Linked DNA regions of Saccharomyces cerevisiae S288C. The gene in region 2 interacts genetically with the main gene of each other region. Each region holds a gene or a part of one and is shown on either strand. Other genes may lie near its edges.

Region 1 (7,646 bases), on a different chromosome or scaffold from region 2:
ATATGAGATGATTTTACGGCTCAATCACTACTTATATATGATTTCTATAACAAAGCAGGCCATTACACATTAGGAACGGCTATCTATTACATAAGAATATGCAGCAAATTCGTTGGATATGTTAAAGTATATTCCACGCATGCTGAGAAGTGGATTGCCAGAAACGTGACGTGAAATACCTACTAGAACAAAAAAAAAAGGAATGCAAACGTTCTAGGAGCCATAGGAATCAAAAAGAAAAAAATTGAATTAATAGAGTTCGTGAGAATCATTGCGAATTGAGATTCTAATTACTGATCTGAGACTTTTGTGTTTTATAATAACAAGGTGCATAAACTACTTGAGTGATAAATTTCCCCTCATATCTAGTAGTGCAAGCTACGCTGATTATTTCATCTCTAATACTGCTTGTCAGTAAATGGTTCAAATTCACGTGGGGTATAATATGATTTATCGCACCTTCATCCCTCTCATGTGATTCTGAATTCTGATTGCTTTGGTTTAGTATTCTGTTCAGATAGGATGAATTCAGGTATATGGGCAAGTCAGGAACTGGGTATCTACTTAGAAAAACCGCCTCTGCTGTTTCTGCATCAATATTACCGCCTTGCTGTAAAGTAGCAAATAAATCATCTTGATTACAGTCAACAACTCTATGTGTAAAGCTGGGAGGTTCTTGGGGATGCACGTCATCAGAATCTCCTTTTACAGAAATCGTAGAGCCGTCACCTATATTAAATAAATTTGGTATTTCGTTCGAATACACCAACCTCTCAGGCTTGACCTCGGCCATCAAATCCAAACTGCTAGCCTTCAGACGTACAAATGAGTCACGCATATTTATTGAACTGGACCTACTTAAGCCTCTATAATCTGAAAACGGTGTACTTGGCCTTTCAACACCCTTAGCAGAATAGTAGGAAGATTTTCGAGAGGAAGAAGGAAATCTTTTAAGTTCCGGTCTCTTGGGCAATTCTTCATCCAGTGTTGGCTCTACTTGCGAGTCGATGTCTGCTTCGTTTCTAAATGGCTCGATCGTATGATAACCGGGCAATACTTCAAACCAGTTGACAAAATTGCCTTCTGAATCCGTAGCTGTAGGAAGAAAATTTGAGTGAGTCAATATACCATTGATGGAGAATTGCAGTCTATAAATTCCTGCAGGCAAAAAAAGATCTGGAACAAACCATTCCTTATGCACATCATCATAAACCATGCGGATCCTAGGATTTAACTGTTTTTCTGAGTCTAAACTTGCATTCTCATCCAAGGTAAGCTCTCTTTGCTCTTTAAGAGCAGAAGCAATATCCGTGCTTACTATAAAGACTTCCGTGGTTGCAGCCACGGTACCATCGTCTTTCCATTTTAGAACAACTAAAGTATTTTCGGTGGAGTTTGTTGATGATATTGAAGACATACTCGACATGGAATTAGAGTGATGCGATATTTCTCTATGCTGCGGTGCAGAGTATTGACTTTCATTGTCGTTAATAATTGGATGTAGTGGATGCAAAGGCTGCAAATTCAAACCGTTTGTTAAGATACTCTTTCTTGATTGTAAAGAATGCAAAGAAGCAAATGAGGATCTTCTCGAATTTGAAACCGACCTTATTTTTTTATTCTGGGCTTTCTTTGTCTTATTATGGTGCTTATTTAAATCTCTTTCCATCAAGGTCTTATCACCGTACAGTTTCATCATCATTTTTGCAGTAGCAGATATAGGTGCGGTAAAATCGTCGTTGGAGCCTCCCGCGTTTCCCTTGTTACGGGTGTTATTTTCAATATTTCCATTGTTATTAGCGTGGCTTATCCTTTCTGCAGTATACATTGAATTAGAGGAATTCACCCTTGAAAGACGTTGCATATCCTTTTTTAAAGCATTTTGTAAAAGAGACTGGTTCAAAACCATATCTTCACTTTGAAGTACGCCTGCTTCTGCATCTACACTATCACTGTTTCCCTCTTTATCCATTTGAGAGTTCTCAGAAAATGTTTCGTCGTTATTGAGATATTGATATTGGTATGCATGGATAGATGGTTTCTTTGAATAGGGTTGTCTTACAGGAATATCAATGGAATCCGTCTTGGTCAAGGCGGGAAGTGATGCTGAATGCACCGATGAAGACCTCGTTGGAGAAGGGGAAGCAGTAGCTGAACTTTCTAAAAGATTTTTTTTCAAAGCTATGATGCTTGAGCGATGCCTTTCATGGTGTGGTTTGTCGTTTCTTTCATTTTCTGTTGTTTCGTCAACCATGGTGTAATTCAAAGTAGACAGATCATCCAGATCACTTTTAGTTCGTTTGACAGTGGCCATTGATGGACCTGGGCTCAAAAACGACGGAGATTTCACCTGCTCTTCGGGTGCACCCACATCGTGATCATCACTTAAAGTCAAATTGGCCAACGTAGTGTCATTTACGTCTGCGGCAGAGGACAAAGAATAATCCTTTTTGAATAGATGGGACGGGCCCTTATCGATAGTAGTATCACTGCTCATGCGCCCATCACAATCTGTCGATGGATCGTGAGATGCAAGTAATTGCATTCTAGGGGGAATGGCACCATTATGTTCGCTAGTATGACTGGCGCGTCTCTTATGAGTACTCTTCCTATTGTTAAACAGTTGAGAGGTTATGCTTCCCTGACGATCTTTATTGAATGCATCATGAAAATGATGTCCATGCTCCTTTTTGGTTGAATGCGATGGATCCTGAGTAGAAGGACTGTTTCCCATGGCGGCTGCAACAACTATATAATATGACAGTTCAACTTTCCAAGATGTCAGTCCACACGCAAAAAAAGAAGTGCAAATGAAAGAAACACTAGGTAAGACACCTTGTTTATGTAGGTATCCACTTGTATCGGATATATCTACCATTGTTAATTGTCAATAGTATTCCATCAGAGACAATGGTAAAAAGACAAAAAAGGTATAATCATCGTACAAAGCGATCAATATTACATGCTCTCATCCAACATTATGTATACTCAAGATATGTTTATATGCTACAGGAGCTGTCTAACCAGAGCACTCTGTAAGTCGCGAGCTTTGACTACTATTTTGCAGTCATCTGTACATTTTGCCTTGATTATTAATTCGCTGCATAAATCATCTATGTCCAACGATGAATATTTTGGTAGGGAGGAGATCTCTTCGAGAATGTGGTAGCAAGACGCTTTTCCATTCGATATGGCGCTGCTAATGTGTTCAATTGCTTCAGATTGGGTTCGAATTGTTTTAGTATGAGAAGCAGCCACCGGAAGCACCGAAGCTAGAGATTTCTGATTCAACAGGTGGCTTGTTATTAAGTCGCATTTGATCTCCTTATTTGAACATGGTTTGGTCCCGATACACTTGCGGTTGCAAATATTATTACACTGGCTCCCTACAGCAAGGGGAAGCACGCTGGGGAATAAAGTATCATCTTCTGTCTCGTATGGAAGATACTTTTGGTCAATTTCACATTGACATGCTGACGTATCTATTTTTTCAGCGGTCAGGCGTTCAGAGTGCTGAGGAAAGTAGTTATGAATGTCGTAATCTAAAGCTTCTAGACCAGTCTGTCTATCATTGGAGACAAGATCGAGACTGAAATCTGGCATTTCACTACCATTAATACTTTCGTCACCGATGGTAACGGCACCTGTTCGATTTCCGGGGGGAGAATCCCACGAATTGGTTAAACTGGGAGCGTTCCATGAGCCTATGTTCCACATAACTTTCTCATTCTCTTGAGTGTGCGGCTGTACTTCTATACTTGTGTTCACAGTCATGTTTTCATCTGAATTAGGCGATGGCAATTCCTTTGCAGCCTTGCTAACTGCTGTACTTGTTCCTTTTTCGTTTTCCCTTTTCTGTTGTTCTTGCAGATCATCGAGGAAGGCTAATATTCTTTCATCATCAGAATTCTTAGCTCTATATTTTGTAATTTCCGACAGTAAACTTTTTAAAGAACATAGTAAAAAGTCCGTGGTAGTCTTATTCTGCGCATCTTTCTGTTCTAGTAACTCTACCCTCTCTTGCAAACTCTTCATTTTGGCTTCTTTCCTATCTCGGAACGCTCGTTGAGCTGCCCTATTCTGGGCAGTCCTCCTACTCTTAGCTTCAGAGTCAATCCTTTTTCTGCCTGGTCTGCCCACCTTCCTCTTAGGTGTTCCATCTTTATTTAGCAACATTTGCTTCTTCATGTCACCTGCTAAATATATTTGCTGACCTTTCCGAAGGATATTGCCCATTTATCTTAACTGGTCGTTCCATTGCTTATATGTCGTCCTTAAAAGTAACACCCCATTCGTATGAAAGTATAATAGTAATTGATTATCGATTAACTATTGAAGAAACACTATTTATGCTGTTTTGAAAACTAAAAACGCCAGTGGACCGATATAGAAATAAACAAAATGGCCCTTTTCGTGTGTCACGTAGCTCCCAAAGTTCTTTCCGACAATCACATGCCAGGTATTGCCGTATTTGACATCCAATTGCTTCTTTACCGTCCCAGCAATGTCTCTTTCCAACTGGTACTTGTCCAGAGCATCTTTACTGATGGTTAAAATATCCTCTTTCAGCTTGTCGGTCTAAGTTTTCTCCTTGTTAGTAAATATATATATTCAAATGTACACACACAAAACATGTATATCATGGCACAATTACATACTATGTCAGACGCCTTAACAATAGCTGCAATTCATGGAAGAAAACCTCACTCTTCCTCGAGTTAGTAAAGAAAAATTGTATTGAAAGTCACAAAATTGTGACTGAGATTAACTGACATACGCGTACTCTTATTTTCATCGCTCATTTTGGTTTTAATTTGCTCTTCTTTATGTCGTTTCCCAGTTTCACTTTTTACCCTGGCAGTAGTTTTGGAGGCTTTCCTTTTCTGCAGTTTCGCTAGTTTGTAATCTCCATTTAAAGGGAAAAGAGAACCAGGCAACAAGATAAAGAGATAAGGGATAGAGACATAAATAGACATCTATACACGTAGTGAGTAACAACGGATACTACTACACATACAGAAAAAATGGACTACAACATATTTGAGGCGGTACATGAACAACAAAGCAGCACATCTGACATGGATCTCTCAGAAGAAGATAATAATCCATTCGTCGGCACTCATCACCTATATGCTTCTGGAATTGGGACTACTATCGGCGAAGCTCGCCCAGAGAACGAAAATTCGCCCCCTTCTTCATCGTCTTTGCCATCTAGCCCGGCACATTCCTCTTCTGCTGGCTCTTCCAGAGCATCTACGTCATCTTCAACCTCTTCTCATGCCGTAGTGGAAGCAGATGCGGAAACTGAACCTTTTGTTTCCTTGTCGATGTCTACTACTGCTACTATTAGCAAATTTACTCCCCACGATATGAATGGGACACAGCAGATCCAAATCATTGATGCCGGCGATTTCAAAGATCCATGGGGGAAACACGCTATCGGTTACGTAATTCTATATGAAAACAACAAGATTATCAGAAGGTACTCTGAATTTCATTCTTTGAGGCAATCTCTAACTAGACTCCTTCCTACGATAATTATTCCACCCATTCCATCCAAGCATTCTCTTCTCAAATACATATGGAGTCCCATAAACGCAGCAAATGATTCCAAAATTATCTCCACCAGGAAGAAAATGCTCAATTCATTCTTGTCTAACTGTCTGAACATTCAAGAAATAAGCAACGATATTGTTTTTCAAAAATTTCTAAACCCTGAATTTAATTGGAAAGATGTTTTAAGTTCGTCGCCGATAATCATACTACCTTTGAATAACCTTTTAGCTCCACCTTTAAGCCCAACAAAACCAAGCCCCCTTCATTCTATTTTACCTATTCCATCCAACTCGTCTCTGAGAAACTATAATTCGATTTGGCAACAACACATCACAGTAAAAAGTCATAATGAAATTTCCAACCTCCCAACAGAAATTTTACAAAACGAATCTCAATTTACACATATTGAAAATTTATTCCAAAATTATAAGCGAATAATCACCCATTTATTAAAAAACATAAGATCAAATAAATCTCATTTCCACTCCTTGTCCACGTATTTTGCTGAATTAGGCGCATATTATAATGCTTTTAGTTTGGAAAATGACATAACCATGCCCAACAGCCTTCGCGAATCTGAAAACAATTCAAACAACCCAATGATGGAAATTATTAGTCATATTGAAAAGACAGGCCATTCATTCGATGTTATATACATTTCTTCCGAGATCTTAATAGAAAAGTACACCTCTATTCTTGAGGACCCCATTAATGAGTTATTGCAGTTCTTAAATGAGTCATTCAAAGTTCTAAATTTCAAGAAATTAAAGTTTTTGCAATTTAAAATATTAGAGAGGCTAATTATCGAAAAAGAAACGAAACTTTCGAGTCTCACTGAGATTGAAAACCAACTGCAGAAGATTAATGAAAGTTTAACGCGGTCGACTATATTGACAGATGAAAATTACAAAGATACAAAGGCTGCTGACCTGACATTTGTTAAAAAGGACGTAAGATCGCTATCGAAGTCAAGTTCAAATTCAAGCTCCAGTGGACACCAAAACGAAATTCATATAGGCGCAAGTAAACTAAACTATAAAACGTCTACGCCAACAATGAATCTCAATAAATTAGAAATCAAACAATTGACTGAACAAGAAAGATCTAAACAGATCAAACAGTTGAACCAAGATTTATCCAAATTGAAAGATTGTCTATCAATCTGTATATCAGACATGCTAGAAATTAACAATTCGTCATACAACAGCTTAATGCATACATATAACCATATTAATTTGACCATTGGAAAGATCTTGAAACTTTTCGCAGCTAGCTTCAAAGCATGGATCAAAGAATGTCTGAAGAATTGGAAACTGGCAAAGTTACAAATCGACGAGGCCCTATAAAAAGCATTACCGTCACGCATCGTGTTGCAAATAGCATATACATATATATATATATATATATACATATAACGTATACGTTAGAAAAATTTGAATACACACATTCATTTATCCTATTATTATCATTTTCATTCTTACCCGCTCCCCGCTTTCATCCGGTGGCAAAAGTAAGAACAAATAAAAGCTAGACCTAGATTGAAGAAACTATTAAGTACCAAAAAGCAAACAGTGGGCACACGCGAGGAAACCACATTATATTTCGCAAGATGTTTAATAATCATGAAATTGACACCATATTAAGCACTCTCCGCATGGAGGCAGATCCCTCTTTGCATCCTTTATTCGAACAATTTGAGAAATTTTATGAAGAGAAATTGTGGTTCCAATTGTCCGAATCCTTGACTAAATTTTTTGATGATGCTAAATCTACACCATTGAGGCTCAGATTATATGATAACTTCGTTTCTAAATTTTATGATAAAATCAACCAATTGTCAGTAGTAAAGTATCTACTTGCCTCTTTGAAGGATTCTAAGGATTTCGATGAGTCTTTAAAATATTTGGATGATTTGAAGGCTCAATTTCAAGAATTGGACTCTAAAAAACAAAGAAATAATGGATCAAAAGACCATGGTGATGGTATTTTGTTGATAGATAGCGAAATTGCTAGAACTTACCTGTTAAAGAACGACCTCGTTAAGGCAAGAGATTTATTAGATGATTTGGAAAAGACATTGGATAAAAAGG
Region 2 (8,240 bases):
AGGAAAAAAGAAAAATTAAAGAGCAAATAAAAGCAGAGAAGGAGACAGCTCTTCAGAAAAAGAAGACTAAAAAATTGAATAAATTGACTGACATTTTAGAGCAACTAACAAAGGAATATGGTGCTGAAATTAATGCCGACATGGTGAAAAAAATCACTGACACCCTATTGAAGAACGATTTCAAAGAAGAAGAGTGGGATAACGTGGTAGCTGAATTATTTAATGAAGAATTTTATCAACAAGAGGGAAAGCCTACCTGGAACGAGGATGACGAAATAATGGGTGACTTTTATGCAGACGCCGATGGTGATGACCAAACAGAAGAAGGTGAAGTGGAAAAAGAACAAAAAGAAGAAGACGAGGAAGAAGGTCCAAAAAGAAAGAAGAGCAAGAAAGAAGAGAAACTGCAAAAGAAGAAAGAAAAGAGAAAGGTAAATGAATTAGTGGAAAATGCTTTGGAACAAAACAAACTAGCACTAATAGAGGAGGTTGAAAAAGAAGAAGAAGAAAGAAAGAGTAGAAGCCGTACAAAAGAGGAGCAAGATTTGAAGTTTCGTTACCGTGAAGTTTCTCCTGAGAGTTTCGGTTTGACCGCAAGAGAGATTTTCGCCGCCGATGATACTGATTTAAATGAATTTATTGGTTTGAAGAAATTTGCACCTTATCGTTCCAAGGAACTAAGAGCGAAGGATAAAAGGAAAGTGATGAAGGCAAGAAGATTAAGAGAGTGGAGGAAGAAAACTTTTAAGAACGAAAATGGGTTAGCTCCAGTCGAAGCAGAGGCAGGGGAGAAGGATGAGGACACCATACTGATACCTGTAGAGAAAGCCTCTAAAAGCAAACACAAGAGGGGGCACAGTCATAAACATAAAGGCCACCAGAAAAAGTAAACTAGGTGAAATATCGGCCCTGTATATTACGATACATAAGCTTACATAGTGATAATCTATCTCCGAATTTCCCTAAAAAAGAATGTCATTTTACGTATTAATATGTAATTTTATAATTTCAACATTTGTCATTTTTGTCCCTTTGAGTGGTCCATTTCAGGAAGTATGGAATCATCAACTGATATGGCCGTCAACGATCAATCAGTGAGTTTGTCATCAATGGACTCCCCTTCGCCTATACGGTCGGTGCCGGGTCCTACAATGAGCGGGATCCCGTTTGCGTTCATATCTAGAAAATTGTTTGTGGTGTGGCTTGATATAGCAGCTGTTGCTATCGCAGAAGTGTTGGAAGATGATCCGGGCACCATCGCTGGAACAGAAGGAATTGAAGCTGACGTGTTTGACGCTCCCTGCTGGGCGGGGACCCTTGGTGAAGGGCTGAAAAGATTATGCAGATAGTCTCCCATGTTGAAGTTGGGCGTCCTGAGTAAGTTAAAATTGGTACCGTTCAATTCTCTTGAAGGCGTGGTAGGTACGTTACTAGGTGGATGCAATGTGTTTGTGGTGGGCTTTCTTCTCTGCTGTGGCGATAGTGTCGCCTGGACACTACCGTTATTATTGCTCAAGTATAGTGATGGAGAATCCATGAGAGATTCGTCCGGAAAATTCGGTAACAGATTAGATTTGAAAGTGGACTGCGGAGAAGACGCTGAAGGTTTGATATGAGAGAATCTTACTGCATCGTTTGATGTGCTTGCTGTATTACCGTTCAAACTCAATTGCGACGCGTAATGATAAGAGCGTGGAGTAGTGGGCATCCTTACGGCCATCGGTGTTCCATGATGTGATGACTTATTATATGGACTTGTGGCTAAATACATTAAGAGATCAGCGCCCGCAGTGTTGTCGCTGTCCTGTGGAGCATCCTTAGAGCCTGCTGCCTTCTTCTTGATATTATTATTGTTATTGCTATGGTTACTGCTGTTGTTATTATTACGTTTTGGCGTCATGAAATTCTTATCATGGGGGCGCTGGTAGTGTGACGAAGCGTGTGGTAAGATTATAGGTGTAGCAGAAGCCCTCGGAGTAGATGGAGTGTCCTCCTTCCTAGGCTTGATCTGCTGTGAGCGGTCTTCGGCTTTTCGTTGGCGTGAACTTGGGGGAGTATTTGGCTTCTCTACAAATTTTACGGGCGATATAACAGTCATTTTATTTGTATCATCGTGGAGAGGCTTTTTCGCAGGCGATATGGCTTCCAAAAGAGTTTTGTGGTCCTCATCAACATCTTCGGCATCCTCTCCGCTTCTTTTCTTTGTTGTAGAGTCCTGTTTTCGTTTTGTTGATGGGACATTACTTAAACCAAGCTTTAATTGACGCGTCATCTGAGCCAACTCAGCTCTATGCAAAATCTTGGAGGCCAATTCTTGCTCTTTTTCAGGGGACATCTGGGGTTGAGACATTTCTTGTATGCACAATGGGAACACTGATTGAAAATAGTAACGCTCTACGTACTCCTTCTTTCGATGATATTTTTGGTTCCTTCTGCACTTCATAATTGTAATTTTTTTTTCTTGCATTTTCGCGTGATATCAAAATTATGAGAGGAAAGGTGAAAGAGCGTCATGTTGGCTTCAAGGGATCAGCGATACTAAAGCAGCACCGGTGCAACTGGAATATCAAGAGACTGAACATGATTCCGAGGACTAGAACACTACTGCAAAGTAAAATACCAATTACCAGGTACTTTGCCAGATGTTGGGCGCCTCGCGTACGCTACAACGTGTGCCGTACTCTACCCGCAGCAGCGTTGCATACCAATATCATCGCACATAATGAAGTGAAAAAGGACGATAAGAAGGTTCATTTGGGGTCTTTTAAGGTAGACAAGCCTAAGATGATGATAGCTTTCACCTGCAAGAAATGTAACACCCGATCTTCACACACAATGTCCAAGCAGGCGTACGAGAAAGGTACTGTCTTGATCTCTTGTCCGCACTGCAAAGTGAGACATTTGATAGCAGACCATCTGAAAATATTCCATGATCATCATGTTACCGTGGAACAGTTAATGAAAGCTAACGGAGAACAAGTTAGCCAAGACGTGGGCGACTTGGAGTTTGAAGACATCCCAGATTCGCTAAAGGACGTCCTGGGAAAATATGCCAAGAACAACTCAGAAAATGCATCCCAGCTCCCTCACCCTTCCCAGAAATGAATGAAGAGCTCATGCACAGGCATGTACATAGATAGATATATAACCGTTAAATAGCACGTTTTTCCAGAGACTGAGTCATGATTACTGCCAAAAACCCGCACATCACATATTTTTTTGCGATAACCAGCAGAAGATTTAGGACTAGAGTACATAAAGATGAGCCACTGCTAGATATGAAAAGTTGAACCGCATTTTCAAACGTTCAAACCAACCGAATCATGAAACGGTTGCAATTGTTTGGTAGATCAAAATATTTCTCGCTGGTCTCCAGTGCTGCGAAGGAGGAAGAAGAAGAGGAAGAGGGCTGTGCTGATGCCAAAAGCCTTCTACATAGTACGAGCCATGATATCAAATCGAGATCACTACGCTTCAACGATAAATCGTCCCTCATGTGTTTGCCAACAAAAGTTCTACTGTTAATACTGCGAACTTTGGACTTCAATACATTAGTAACACTATGCCAAGTCAATTCGAGGTTCTACAATTTGATTACGAATGAGTTCCTTTTCCAAAACGTTATTTTGGACTCAAAACTTTCGTTGTTAAAGTTCAATGCTTTGATACACTCCGAGTTCCACACGTCGAACATTGTCACACACAGCGGTGATTGTAGCACACAATCTAGATCACAAAATGCAAGGTTCCTCGTAAGATCCATCGAATTCAAAAATCCTCAGTCCCAAGACTCGTTGTTAAAATACAGTAAGTTCTATAATAAGAGTGGCCAAGATTCTATTATTGCTGGATCTTATAAACTCGATTCGTATGATAAAGACGTAAAAAAACTGAATAACATCAGACTAAACGATGAGACTCCCATCATAACTTCAGAACGAATCAAACTGCTTGATAAATTGGAAAGCAACTACTTCCATTATACTTATATTGAGCTAATGCTTGATATTATAGACTATCTACCGAACCTGACCAGAGTGATTCTGAGTGATGTGGAACCGAATTTTAAAATTCCTTTATGGTACTCTGTATTCAACGATGGATCTAGAGATTTTTTCAAGAAAATAATCAAGGGCCAGCAATCCATCACAAACGAAGATTTGAGGACTTTCCAACTATCCAAAAAATTTGTCAAAGAATACGAATCCAAGTATTATTCTCTGCCAAGGTTGAAAATACTGGAAATCAAAGCTAATAATAAAAGACAAAGAACCTTTAATCGTCAACGCCATCACCAAAAGCTCGTACTAAGACCGAGTTTATTCTGCTGTTTCGGCATAATTAATGAACTTAAACTAGAAAATGTAACGATAGACACCGAATCGCTAGATACTCCAATGGAATTCTTACCACTATTTCTAAAGAACGAAGATAATGAACTGTACAGTTTACAGTCTCCTATCACTGCACTTACTTTAGATTCATGTGATGTAGTTCCTGGAAATGGAATATTACGTTTGTTTCACTCTTACTTTAAAATGGTCAAACATCTATCCTTACTGAAGATTAACAGTAAATTCGACTTATTGTTATGCAGTTGTTTCCCATCGTTATCCAATCTAACAATTGATTGTAATAGCAAATGTTTCACTAACGAACAGGTAGTCGGCGAATCATATTATTTCCAACAGCGAAGTTTGGATACAGAAGATGATTTTGATGACTGCAATTCCATGACAGAAACATTATTTGAAGCGCCATCAGATTCGAAGATAATTACTCCTCCGCCGACATCTTCAGTTGTATTGTCCTTAAATCTGAACTATATTTCTAGAACTACAGGAAATGATGTTTCAAATAACCCATCACCAGACAATAACAAAAAGCCCGCCATGTTAACTGCGGCACAGCTACAAAATTTTCAACGACAAAGAATCCCTGAATTTCATTCTTTCTACCATTATTACCGCTTACTTTGGGAGAGACTTCCAAGTAAAAATATTTCTATTAACGTAATCAATATCCCCTTTACCAATGTGTATCCTTTATCCCCTCTATCGTTTTGGGAACATCTAGCAAGAACAATTACTAGTGTTGATGAGACAGATGAGGATGTTGGCGACGAGAACGATCAAGAAACATTAATCGGTTACGAAAATAATTCCATAAGAGATAACATACCAAATGCTAATGCAGTTCCAAATTTAAGTACAGTAATGAGCCCTGAATCAGACATTCACCACACTTACTATTGGAACAACTCTGTAAGGCGTTGCCTAAGAGATAGTTTAATCAAATTGAAGAACCGAACCATCGAATATAGAGATTTAGATGTGGAGGAGTTCTTACAAAATGTGACATTGGAAAATTTTTTCAATGATTTCCAAGATCCAGAGAATTTTAAAGATATTCCAAATATTAACCTCTGGTGTTTCCTGAGAAATTTGTCAAAATTCAAAGCTGTCAAAATAAGAATGCTGAGACATTTTTCATTATGTACACCTAGAACCAGATACGACTGGGAACTATTATTGAAGCCCGTACTGCGTGTAAATGTTCCCATTGAAGTCAGAGATAAGGACGGATTCGTTCTTTATTCTTACGGGCAAAAATAAATGACTTTTTGTAGTGGACTTTATATAGCATATTTATGCAACCAACTTAATATTCATGCATCTTACCCCTTCTTGGAACGGGTTCCATTTTCCACTCTATTTCCGGCAAATTTTGGTACTTACCTAGTAGAAATACACAAACGAATACTAAGAAATGCTAAAAAAATAATCTATATATTTTCATAGGGCAAAGAAGTTATTGTCATCAAAAGTTGGGTAGATAAAACCCTGGTCAGTCAAGGTCGTACAGCAGTTTCTGACGGTAGTTTCATCCAAATTCAAGGATTGCGAGATCAATGGAATGGGAACAGCGAATGAATTAGCGTCTTTGCCCTCACATTGCTTCTTACAAAATTCTAGAATTCTTTGTAACGGACTGGAGCCGGAAGATGTATCGTTATCATCCTTGACAAATAATGATTGCCCATTGTTGTTGGATGCACTCTCCAAAGGTTGTTTCATCATTCCACTGGCTATGGAATGACATTTGATGACTTCCAAGTGATGCGTCAACACTTCATTGAATGAATCTATGGGCTTAATCACCGCATACTGTATATTTTTCTTACCACCAAACTCTTTCAAAGCACCAAAAACTTTTACGTAACCGCCAATTTCAAATTGTTGGGCGACTTGCGAACCATAACCTTTACCAGAAGAGTCATCGTTACCGGCAGCCAAGTCATTTGCATCTTCGCTCCATTTTCTCACTTCTATTTGACCAGTTCCATCCTCAATAGTTAAAAAAATATTTGCAGTATGGTCTGTAATGTTTCTCACCACACCTACAAAACAAACGTGATGAAGTTCTTGGTTATGCGAAACGAAGGGGCCGTCCTGAATATCCTGTTTGGACTCTAGAATTTGTTTGATCGTCACAGGTGTCAAGGTGTTAACTCTAGTGTTAGTTTCCGACTCCCCACTACCTGGGCGGGACTCAGAGTTCTCAAAGCCACCGCCCGTTACTGATGAATATTCGTTATATGGTTGATAGGCTGTATTGGAATCCCATCCATTGTTAGTAATTTTAACATTCGCCAATAAAAATAAAAAAAATGATGCAGAAAAGAGCAAATCCTCCAATTCCTAGCACTAATACATACTTGCCATTATGTATATGCTTAAACTAGCCTGTTCTAGATAGTCGCTATCGATTTTGCCACATTACTTCCACCTTAAGTTGATATAATATTGCTTATTATAAAGGAAAGAACGCGTTTCCTAACGCGTTTCGTATATGGCGATAATTATCTAAGAAACTTCGCATCGTGAAAAAAAAGATGAAAATTGAAAATGGAAGCTCATCGAGGCCAAAGGAATTGCTAAAAAGAAGCTATCAGACCAGGCAAAAAGTAAACTAGTGGTTGCAAAATTATGGAGACGTTATTGCATGCAAAATTATTGCTGTCTGCAGAAGTAGAATCTCTGAAAAGTGGTTCTTTCGACCAGACATATGTGAAAAAGGCTGAACATATCATCAGTGGTGAATCATACCAGCTAGTACAGCAATTTGTGGACAAATTTAAGGGAAAAATTAGTATTTCGGGAGAAATATCCACATCTAGTGTTATTGCTGCTCTAAATGACTTTCTTAACGTTGAGGTTTTCAAAATGGGCCAAGAAAATGAGATGCTATTTTTGGCTATTGCCCTCTTACAGACCTTTATTCAAAATAACTACACCGGCCCAGCAGCTAGGTTGAAAGCAATCTCAGGTTTGTTTGGCAAAACTGGAATTGAAATAGGAGCAGTTAATACAGCCCTTTCCCGCTCATTAGCCATTATGGGCCAGCCTGCCTACGAATTTATGGATGATCCATTGTATTTGGTTTTATCACTATTATTACTTGAAAGGATAACCGGCCAAAAAAGCTTATTTGATGTTACCCCGGATCAAGAAATTCCGCTACCTATTATCTCTGCTGAGTCTACTCCTGGATTATTAGCTGTAGCTTATTGGTGGTGGGCAAGAGCTCTTTTGACGCAATTGTCACTGATTCCAGAACCTTCTGGGTTCCAAGCTAGTGTTGCATCTGCAATATATCAGTCTGCTGACCTTGCATATGCGATAACTAAGGAATTACCGGAGAGTATTCACGAAGATTTCAAAAGAGAACTTTGTGCAATGTACTATCTAGAGAATGTCAAATGTTCATTGGCCATCAACACAGAACATTTGTGCCTGCCATCCTTGACCAGAGCGAAAAAGATAACAAATTTTGAATTTGTAATGACGGGTGCACGCGCTACTAGAACTAAATATCAGCAAAAGGCTCATGCCGGTTTGATCATTCTTGCCAAATCCTTCACATTTCAAAATTTTGCTTTGAGAACGACATCTGCTACACCAGAAACATTTGCTTTAGAGTCCGATCTATTATTGGAGAAGCCTCATTTTGAGTCCATTGCTGATGAACCTCTAGACGAGCAAATTTATAGTAAAAGACAAAAGGTAGACCTAAATGAAGGTTATGAAGAAGATAAACTATTGCCATTGGCACTACGTCAAGAAAATATTCCAAAGTTGTTGCTGGATTTGAACCCTAACGATCAACCTACCCTATCTGATTACGACAACATCCAGTTGCTGTTACGTCTTTACACCATAAAGAACACAACTCCGGCC
Region 3 (8,238 bases), on a different chromosome or scaffold from region 2:
GCTAGAAGCCGTGGTGCTGGCAATCTATTTTTCAATGAAGATAATAATGAAACCGTATACAAACATTGCTTTGAGTTGAAACCAAATATTTGTCTTATCCTAGTTAAAAGCTGAGGAATAAACAGAATTTCTTCAGTAGATCTTGGGATGGATAAAGAAACTAAAGTTGCCAATTGAGTGCTACGTTGATGAGTCGTCATTGATTTTAATGCCTTTACCGCAGGAAGACCAGGTGCCTCGTCCTGTTCAAAAGATATAGCGGTTGGATCGTTTAAACTCGTAGAAGTAGGCTTGACGTGTAAATGATTTGTACAGGAAACGCCGTCACAAAGATGGTCTTTGTGTGGCGGTGGAGGTGGTGCCCCCAATGGACTCATTGCAGAACCGCTATTATCACCATCCATTTTGCCATTTTGTAGCTGCTTATTAACCGTTTGATTTAATAAATAGATATTTGTAGAAGACAGATTCAATGGAGCATCTTTCAAATCATGTTTGAAATTGCCATTTATGGTATTATCCGTTGATGTCTGTGGTCGCGACTGTGAAACAAGGCTTATTTGCTGTTCTTTGATATCACACAAAGCTAGCAAACGCTTATTCTCTGCCTCCAGTTCGCGTACTCTTTCTTCCAGGCTTTCTGTGTACCCTTTTGGATACGCTTTCCTCAGTAATTTATCGCTTATTCTGCATTCAAATCCGACAGCAGCACACTGCGAACACTGTGGTCTTTTTCCATCGCACCTTGTTTTCTTAGATCGACACCTGTCACAAGCTTGAGCTATCCTGTAAATAGGTGTAGATAAAGGAGTCGGAGAAGCTGTCTTGATCATTGCTTCCTTCACGTTCTTGGAAAAATGAGGGTTTGCCTCCGAACTTGAAGTTCTATTAGATATGCTAGGACCGCTAAGCGCTTGTGAACCCAGAGTTCTAATGACTCTGGGTTCCAAACCTTGTCGATCAGAATTATTATTTGCCATAATTTTGTGTCTTGTCTTTTACTCAACTTGTAAATTCTCTTTAGGGTGTTGTAACTGTTTATGAAGAAATAAATACCGTAATGAATTATTAAATTATTAAATTCTTCGTCTTTTTACAATATCACAGGTTTAAAGGGGAGTTTAACAAAATCTACTATTTTACGGCTGTTTTCTTTTTTTGAGTGTCACTGACCAATCATGCTTTCGTACCCCACAAAATATCAGCCCCGCCGCTCCATGCATGTCTCGGTTATCGCTTAATACGAATATAATCACTGAGAACCTCGGCGGCAAAAATATTTACCAATAGGCAAATTAAACACCGAAAAAAAGAAGTTTCAAGTAGAAGATTATCCCGAATACCAAAAAATTGCACGAGAAAGAATGTCTTTTTATGATTTATTGCTTATAATACTCAATTACTCTGGTTTTCTCCGTTCCTGTTACGCACATAAACTCTCTCTGTCTCTGATATCACAACTCATATCGCGAATAAACACCGGATAGAAAGAAGTGAGAGGAGCTACGATAACTGAATATACTCTTTCATCAAAAGTAATGTGCTAATAAAAAGAAATGTTGCACCATCTTAACAGATGTAAAAATGTTCTGCAGAAGGAAAGTTGTGTAATCATACACATTCAATAGTATAAGTCGTATCACAATCTGATGATAAAAGTTGTTACCTCTTTTAACTGCCTCTGATCCTTTTCACATTCAGTAATTTCTCGTAGATGTATATGTGCGAATGTGTCAATGTGTTTGTATGAAATAAACTAGTAGCCGGGTAACAAGTACTCCTAAATTCCCGCTTCGCCGTTTCTATCTCATTGGAGTCGTCCCTTCTAGAAGGTTTACTAGTTACGTTAACGTCATAGAAAAAGGAAAATCGACGCTGCGCTTTTATTTATAATCTTGCATTGCCCTCCTTATTTATCGAATTGTTAAGTGTAGATAGGTGACGCTAGAGCCGTATATTAGATTCTTTCAAACCCTGAAGAAAAGTTAAATGAAGATGTTGAGGCGTACAAAGGTAAATTTTTCAAAATTGCTTTACAAGATTACTAAACTAGCAATAGTACTGACGATCCTATATATTTATTTTACGCCCAAAATCGTCTCCCGAAACAATGCATCATTGCAGCATATTTTTCCTCATAAATATGGCGATTATGAAATCAATTTGGTCATAGCGCACCCTGACGACGAAGTTATGTTTTTTTCCCCCATAATTTCTCAACTGAATTCGTACTTTCCGAGAACCGTCCCATTTAACATAATCTGCTTATCAAAGGGCAACGCCGAAGGTCTTGGCGAAACCAGGGTAAGAGAATTAAATGAGTCGGCCGCTTTATTGCTACACAATGAAAGAGCAGTCTCCGTACAGGTGATGGATTTCCAGGATGGTATGGACGAAATATGGGATATTGATTCTATAACTTCTTCTCTTTCACAAAAGATAGATATAAAGAATCATAACTTGAACCAGATTATCGTTACCTTTGATTCATATGGTGTATCAAATCATATCAACCACAAAAGCTGTTATGCTGCCGTTAAAAAGTTGGTGGATGATTATGCTCAACCTAAGACCAAAAGAAATGAACAACCACCTCATGTCACTGCGCTTTATTTGAGAAGCTACAAGAACAACATCGTTTTAAAGTACAACTCCTTTATTTGGGAAATCCTAAAAATACTTTACGACCTGATTTCTCCATTCCGTAGAATAATTCAGGCGCTTCCGCCTAACACAGCCGCCGAAAAAGACAAGCTTTCACTTATGAATACACATGCACAATACGTACTAGCGTTTGCCACTATGCTAAATGCTCACGAATCCCAAGTTGTGTGGTTTAGATACGGATGGTGGATATTTTCCAGATTTGTCTTCGTTAATGAATTTGATGTTTATACATATTAGACTCTACACTGTAGATATATATATAAAAAAGTCCCATATTATTTACATCCTATAGAATAAGAATATGGAGAAAAATAAATGCTAATTCTACTTACACTTTTCTTACCAAAGGCTACCTATAATCATACCATCATCTTCATCGTCATCGAAACTATCTAGCCGCACTTTCTCCCTTTCCTTTTTGTTCTCAATCTTGTTTTTCATTTTCTTACTTCTTAGAAACATACGATTCGCACAAAAAATATTCAAATCTTTGGTCATTTTTCTATCAAAACCATAACTATCAATGAATTCCCTTACCGCTGAAAATCTACCTCTATTTACAAGCTCCTTAATAATACATTTTTGGTATTTGATAATGATATTGTTAACTTTTCCAGCATTTTCTGCTCTCGTTCTTTCGATCCCCGGTTTGAAACTCCTTAAAACATCAATTCCAAGCGGGAAATTGCCTGTTTTCTTCATGATATCGTACAGTTGTCTCAACGTCTCATAATCAACTGAAGGCCTTAGCCGCTTAGATGCATACCACTGCTTCATTAAATGCCAACATCTAACAACAGAAGTGGCTTTCTTGTCGTTTGCTGGTGTCCAAGCAAAATGACTTAGCTGAAACAGCCTTCTCCAAAATAGCGCATCCAATTTCACGTCCGGATAGTGCTTTATGAATGAATCCAAAATACTTAGGCCTCTGTGAAGATCGTGGTCATTAAAGTAGAATGACACTAAGATTGAAACGAGTATTTTGGAACTAGGATAGCACCCTCGGTGCTTAATTACTACGTGACTAGGAAACTCTTGGGGTGATATTTGCCATATATGTTCAATACACCGTTCCAATATTTGGGTTTGGCCTAGGTGTCCAAAGGATTGAATTAAAGTGGACAACAAATCCTCGGAATTCAAAAGCTTTTTCTCCTGCAGAGCAAGATCAGCAATCTTTAATAATGTTTGGTGATCCATGGCTTTGTAAGTAGAAGAAAGACGAATTGACGTATTTTTCGCACCTAGTCGAACCATTTTTCTTAAAAAACCTTGTTTTTGCTCACTATTATCTGGTATTTTCCAATAAGGCGCCAAAGCGCCACAACGCAGTTGTAAAAAGTGAACTATTGTGCTAATATCTGCATTTTTCGGAGACAGTAATATATCAGGATTTCTATCAAGAATAAAGCTTAAAATTTTTTGAGCCTTACCTAATTGACCGAGCTCTATAAAGTTCTTGATCATAAGATTTGCATCAAATATTTCACATGCATCTAGTTTCGTATTCCGTAAGTTAACTTGGTTTCTCTTGGCATCAACTTTTTCTGCATATAAGGAAAAAAGTTTGAACCAAAATTCTGAATATTTAGCGTTTATGTCTCTACAGATTCTCCTAATTTGAAACCGTTGTGTGTATAGTTTGCTCAAAAGAAAAGACAGGTCCTCTAAAGACAGAACATCCTTCGGTTCAGGGTCCACGGTTTTCGCGAATAAGTAACTTATACTCTTGGAAAATTCGGATTCATCCATTCCACTCGAGCTGATAATTCGTTTTAATGTGTGAACATCTATAGGTATACCTTTTGCCTCGAATTTGTCATAAGCGCTCCCATTATTTTCATCTTTTGATCGATCAATTGCACATACCGTGTGAGTTGAATAGGATTTTTTGATTAAAATATCATTTATGACAGCCCTACCCATTACATACGTTCTTCGGGGATAGACAGAATGACATATTGTGCTATTCGGCAGTACACCAAATTCACGCAGCGATTTCACTGATACAGTGCAGAGCCTCTTCGTGTAAAACCTCAGAACACTGTAGGATGGATGTTTAACCAGTCTATTTATCCACATTAATCATAAATTTAGGTAGTGGACTGTTAACGAAGGAGAGCTTCGTTAATTTGTTCTTGATTTTACATATTCTTTTCATTAGCCAATGTCTGAAGGGCTCTTTTTCAATGAACCTTTTCTGTTCAGGATAAACGGTAACCCGCTCTTTTTCTAATAAAAACTGACGTTATTTGATATTAAAATATACAGTGACATTGCGAGTAAACATCTCAGTATTGCCTAACTCACTACATTAAAAAGCTATTGACGCTGTTCAGTGTTGCTCTTGAAGGGTTAACGTTGCGTCCTTTCAAGTGGGAAATCAATTTTGTCAAGTGTTTTCTTACAATAAGCTTACTGATGTCCGGTAACTCCGACGTAAGCATCCATTCTTCAGTATATTTGGTACAAAGGATACTTAAGATGACACCGATTGACATATCAGTACCTGTATTGCAGCATATTAGCATTGGCTTTATTTTTTCATCTCGATTTGTAAACAACGATTGAATTTCTCCATGGATTCTAGGGAATGTGGATCGTAAAGCTTTTGAACTTTTCTTGTCTCCGCTTTGCAACTTGTATATTGAAATAAACGGATCTGTCCCACTTTCTTCTTCATCGTCTGTATCTTCAGCAACAGTCACCGAATTACTGAAAATTATAACTTTACCATATTCTGACTTCAATTTCTGTTTCAAATTCTTATTGATGGTTAAGCCTGAACTCACTTTTCCTAGAGATATCTCATTCGTAATTTTATCAATGTTTCCAAAGACTTCATCCAAGCTTCCTTTATCTTGTATATAACACTGATTTCTCAGCTTTGCAGCAGCCAAATCCATGATGTAATCATGTAACTGGTCGTCTGAATAACTTGCGTCGCCTAGGTATTCTATATGGGCCCAAAACATATTTGAATCCAAACCAAAAGACCAGAGCTCGTGATCGTCGGCTGCACCCTGCACATAAGTGAAGCCGTATCTTTTATCCATACCATCTTGTGCTTGATAGCTTACCGTGCACAAAATAATGGGTATTATGTTTTGGTCTTCAGGTGTTTCCCAGGCTTCATACTCCTGTACTTCACCCGTGAAGTAATCAACAGAATGGTCTAGAAGTGAAGAACCAGGGTGAACCCATATGGGCCGCAATAACTTACCCATAAACAGTTCGTTCAATTTCTTAGAATCTATAATATTCAATTTTTGTAGTTTAGCAACTAGTTCGGGTATTTTTCGCTTAATCATGTCATATTCTGATTTGGGAACTGTCTCAGGTGGAAGATACAGTACCTTATCGATGGCAACATTTTTTTCTGTTTCCTGAAGCATTAACGTATTTAATACAGCACACCATATGGGGACAGTCTTACTCAAAGCATCTGGGATTTTTTTACCTCTTCTAGTACTATCGACAATTATAATACCTTTATTATCTCGAATGGTCTCTAACAAATGAAAGTTCAATCTTCGGGTGCTAAAGTCCCATTGGTTGACATGCCCGTCTGTGCTCTTAAAGTAACTGGTCTGTTTGAAACTTGATGGATTACAGTACCATAGCCCACATCTTTCATTGGGTATCAGTGGATAATGGGGAAATATAGGGATAACTCGATCTTGCAAAAATTTATTGTCTAAAAGAATACTCTGAAGTCGATTCCTTACGGACTTGTTTTCCTTTCTGATGTCTTTATTTATCTGAGATAGCGAAAGATAAATATTTTCATCCATCACGGATATACTAAACTGTACTCTGGATCTATATCTCTTTGATAGCCTCGATACCATCCATCAAGAGATCAAAATTTTCAAGCATGCTTTTTTTTTCCTGCATATGAACAATGAATAATGGGCCCAGTCACAGTTAAGCAGTAATAAGAACAAAGCACATAAACATACAACGCATATATGAAGAGCAATAGAGTGGTGGGATGATTTTAGAAGTTCATTTTTGATGAAGATGATAAGATTATGTAATAGCGGCTATGCTAAGCTCCCTTCGGGCATGGAAATCAACAAAAAAGTTGTAACCGTACATAATATGACGGGAAATGCAACAAGCTTTCCAAGAAGTAATGGAAGGCATAGCTAAAGGACTATCTGGCTCGGCCATAAGTTTGAAATTTGTGTATACAGGTATAGGAAACCCTTATACCTACCTAAATCGTCGAAGCTACTGATATATTGCGTATAGTCGATATGCCCAATGTAATTCATATTTCATACTCTTCTCTTGTACAGATTAAGGGCACCTGTTTTATTCTTAGAATATACTACAACCTGCCTACTAATTAACAATGATACTATTAACGGTGCAAAACCGGATGCTCAAATTTAAAGTGATTACTCAGTTATAAACACGCCTGGTGTGAAATTAACGACCATTAATAAGAATAAATATTACTGGCATATTATAATATGCGGTGGAAAAACATAAAATAAGGATTGAGAAATAGTTATCAAGTATAATGGAAGCTGAAGTGCAAGGATTGATAATGTAATAGGATAATGAAACATATAAACGGAATGAGGAATAATCGTAATTTTATTATGTAGAAATATAGATTCCATTTTGAGATTTCTATCCTCGAGGAGAACTTCTAATATATTCTGTGTACATAATATTATATAGCCTTGATCAACAATGCAATCCCAACAATTATCAAATTATTCACCCAATATTCAGTATAATCCATATTTATAGAATATATAGGATAATTATCATCCCCTCAATCAAGTTGATATTCCGTTTTGACAACAGGTCACTTCTGCAAGGTTGCTTATATTAAAATTGTGAATAAGCATGATATTAGACGGACTCATAATTGAATGGTTATCAGTTAATTGACTCTCGGTAGCCAAGTTGGTTTAAGGCGCAAGACTGTAATTTACCACTACGAAATCTTGAGATCGGGCGTTCGACTCGCCCCCGGGAGATATTTTTTTACTTTTGATTACCTTAATTTTTGAAGATTCTCAATTTCATGTATTAGGGATTGCTTTAAGGTAGCTACCAAATGACATTCTCTGTATTACTGTTCTAGTTTTCAACAGTAAAGCTATGATTTGTTAAGTGACTCTAAGCCTGATTTTAAAACGGGAATATTATGCGCTCAGTCACTAATGCATTTGGCAATAGTGGAGAACTTAACGATCAAGTGGATGAAACAGGTTATAGGAAGTTTGATATCCATGAAGGAATTTTGTTTTGCATTGAACTATCAGAGACAATGTTTAAAGAGTCCTCTGATCTAGAGTATAAATCACCATTGTTGGAAATTCTGGAATCACTAGATGAGCTAATGTCACAATTGGTCATAACAAGACCTGGGACAGCTATTGGTTGCTATTTTTATTACTGTAACAGAGAGGATGCCAAGGAAGGTATCTATGAACTTTTTCCATTAAGGGATATAAATGCTACATTTATGAAGAAATTGAACGATCTTTTAGAAGATTTATCATCGGGGAGAATAAGCCTATACGACTATTTTATGTTTCAACAAAC

Evidence for each region. A genetic interaction does not mean that the proteins touch.
Region 1: mutations in STB1 (region 2) and CAD1 together harm fitness more than expected from each alone (negative genetic interaction), as found in Saccharomyces cerevisiae (2 studies listed by BioGRID).
Region 3: mutations in STB1 (region 2) and AEP2 together harm fitness more than expected from each alone (negative genetic interaction), as found in Saccharomyces cerevisiae (2 studies listed by BioGRID).

What each region holds. Positions count from the first base shown.
Region 1 is NC_001136.10:1,315,040-1,322,685, forward strand, and holds CAD1 (Cad1p), read right to left. Parts: upstream 4,237-7,646; coding exon 3,007-4,236; downstream 1-3,006. Other genes in the region: SIP1 (Sip1p), read right to left, coding at 287-2,734; DYN2 (dynein light chain), read right to left, coding at 4,348-4,578, 4,659-4,681, 4,778-4,802; SNX41 (Snx41p), read left to right, coding at 5,025-6,902; proteasome regulatory particle lid subunit RPN9, read left to right, coding at 7,166-7,646. UniProt on the Saccharomyces cerevisiae protein: Transcription activator involved in oxidative stress response and cadmium resistance. Regulates the transcription of genes overrepresented for the function of stabilizing proteins including the inducible Hsp90-family protein HSP82.
Region 2 is NC_001146.8:46,772-55,011, reverse strand, and holds STB1 (Stb1p), read right to left. Parts: upstream 2,351-8,240; coding exon 1,088-2,350; downstream 1-1,087. Other genes in the region: KRI1 (Kri1p), read left to right, coding at 1-890; ZIM17 (Zim17p), read left to right, coding at 2,581-3,105; putative SCF ubiquitin ligase complex subunit SKP2, read left to right, coding at 3,324-5,615; RFA2 (Rfa2p), read right to left, coding at 5,796-6,610, 6,719-6,725; tetratricopeptide repeat-containing protein EMW1, read left to right, coding at 6,990-8,240. UniProt on the Saccharomyces cerevisiae protein: Involved in the regulation and timing of MBF-dependent transcription in late G1 of the cell cycle.
Region 3 is NC_001145.3:830,350-838,587, forward strand, and holds AEP2 (Aep2p), read right to left. Parts: upstream 4,750-8,238; coding exon 3,007-4,749; downstream 1-3,006. Other genes in the region: DNA-binding transcription factor CAT8, read right to left, coding at 1-980; GPI12 (N-acetylglucosaminylphosphatidylinositol deacetylase), read left to right, coding at 1,990-2,904; RIT1 (tRNA A64-2'-O-ribosylphosphate transferase), read right to left, coding at 4,977-6,518; ATP-dependent DNA helicase YKU70, read left to right, coding at 7,838-8,238. UniProt on the Saccharomyces cerevisiae protein: Required for translation of the mitochondrial OLI1 transcript coding for the mitochondrial ATP synthase subunit 9.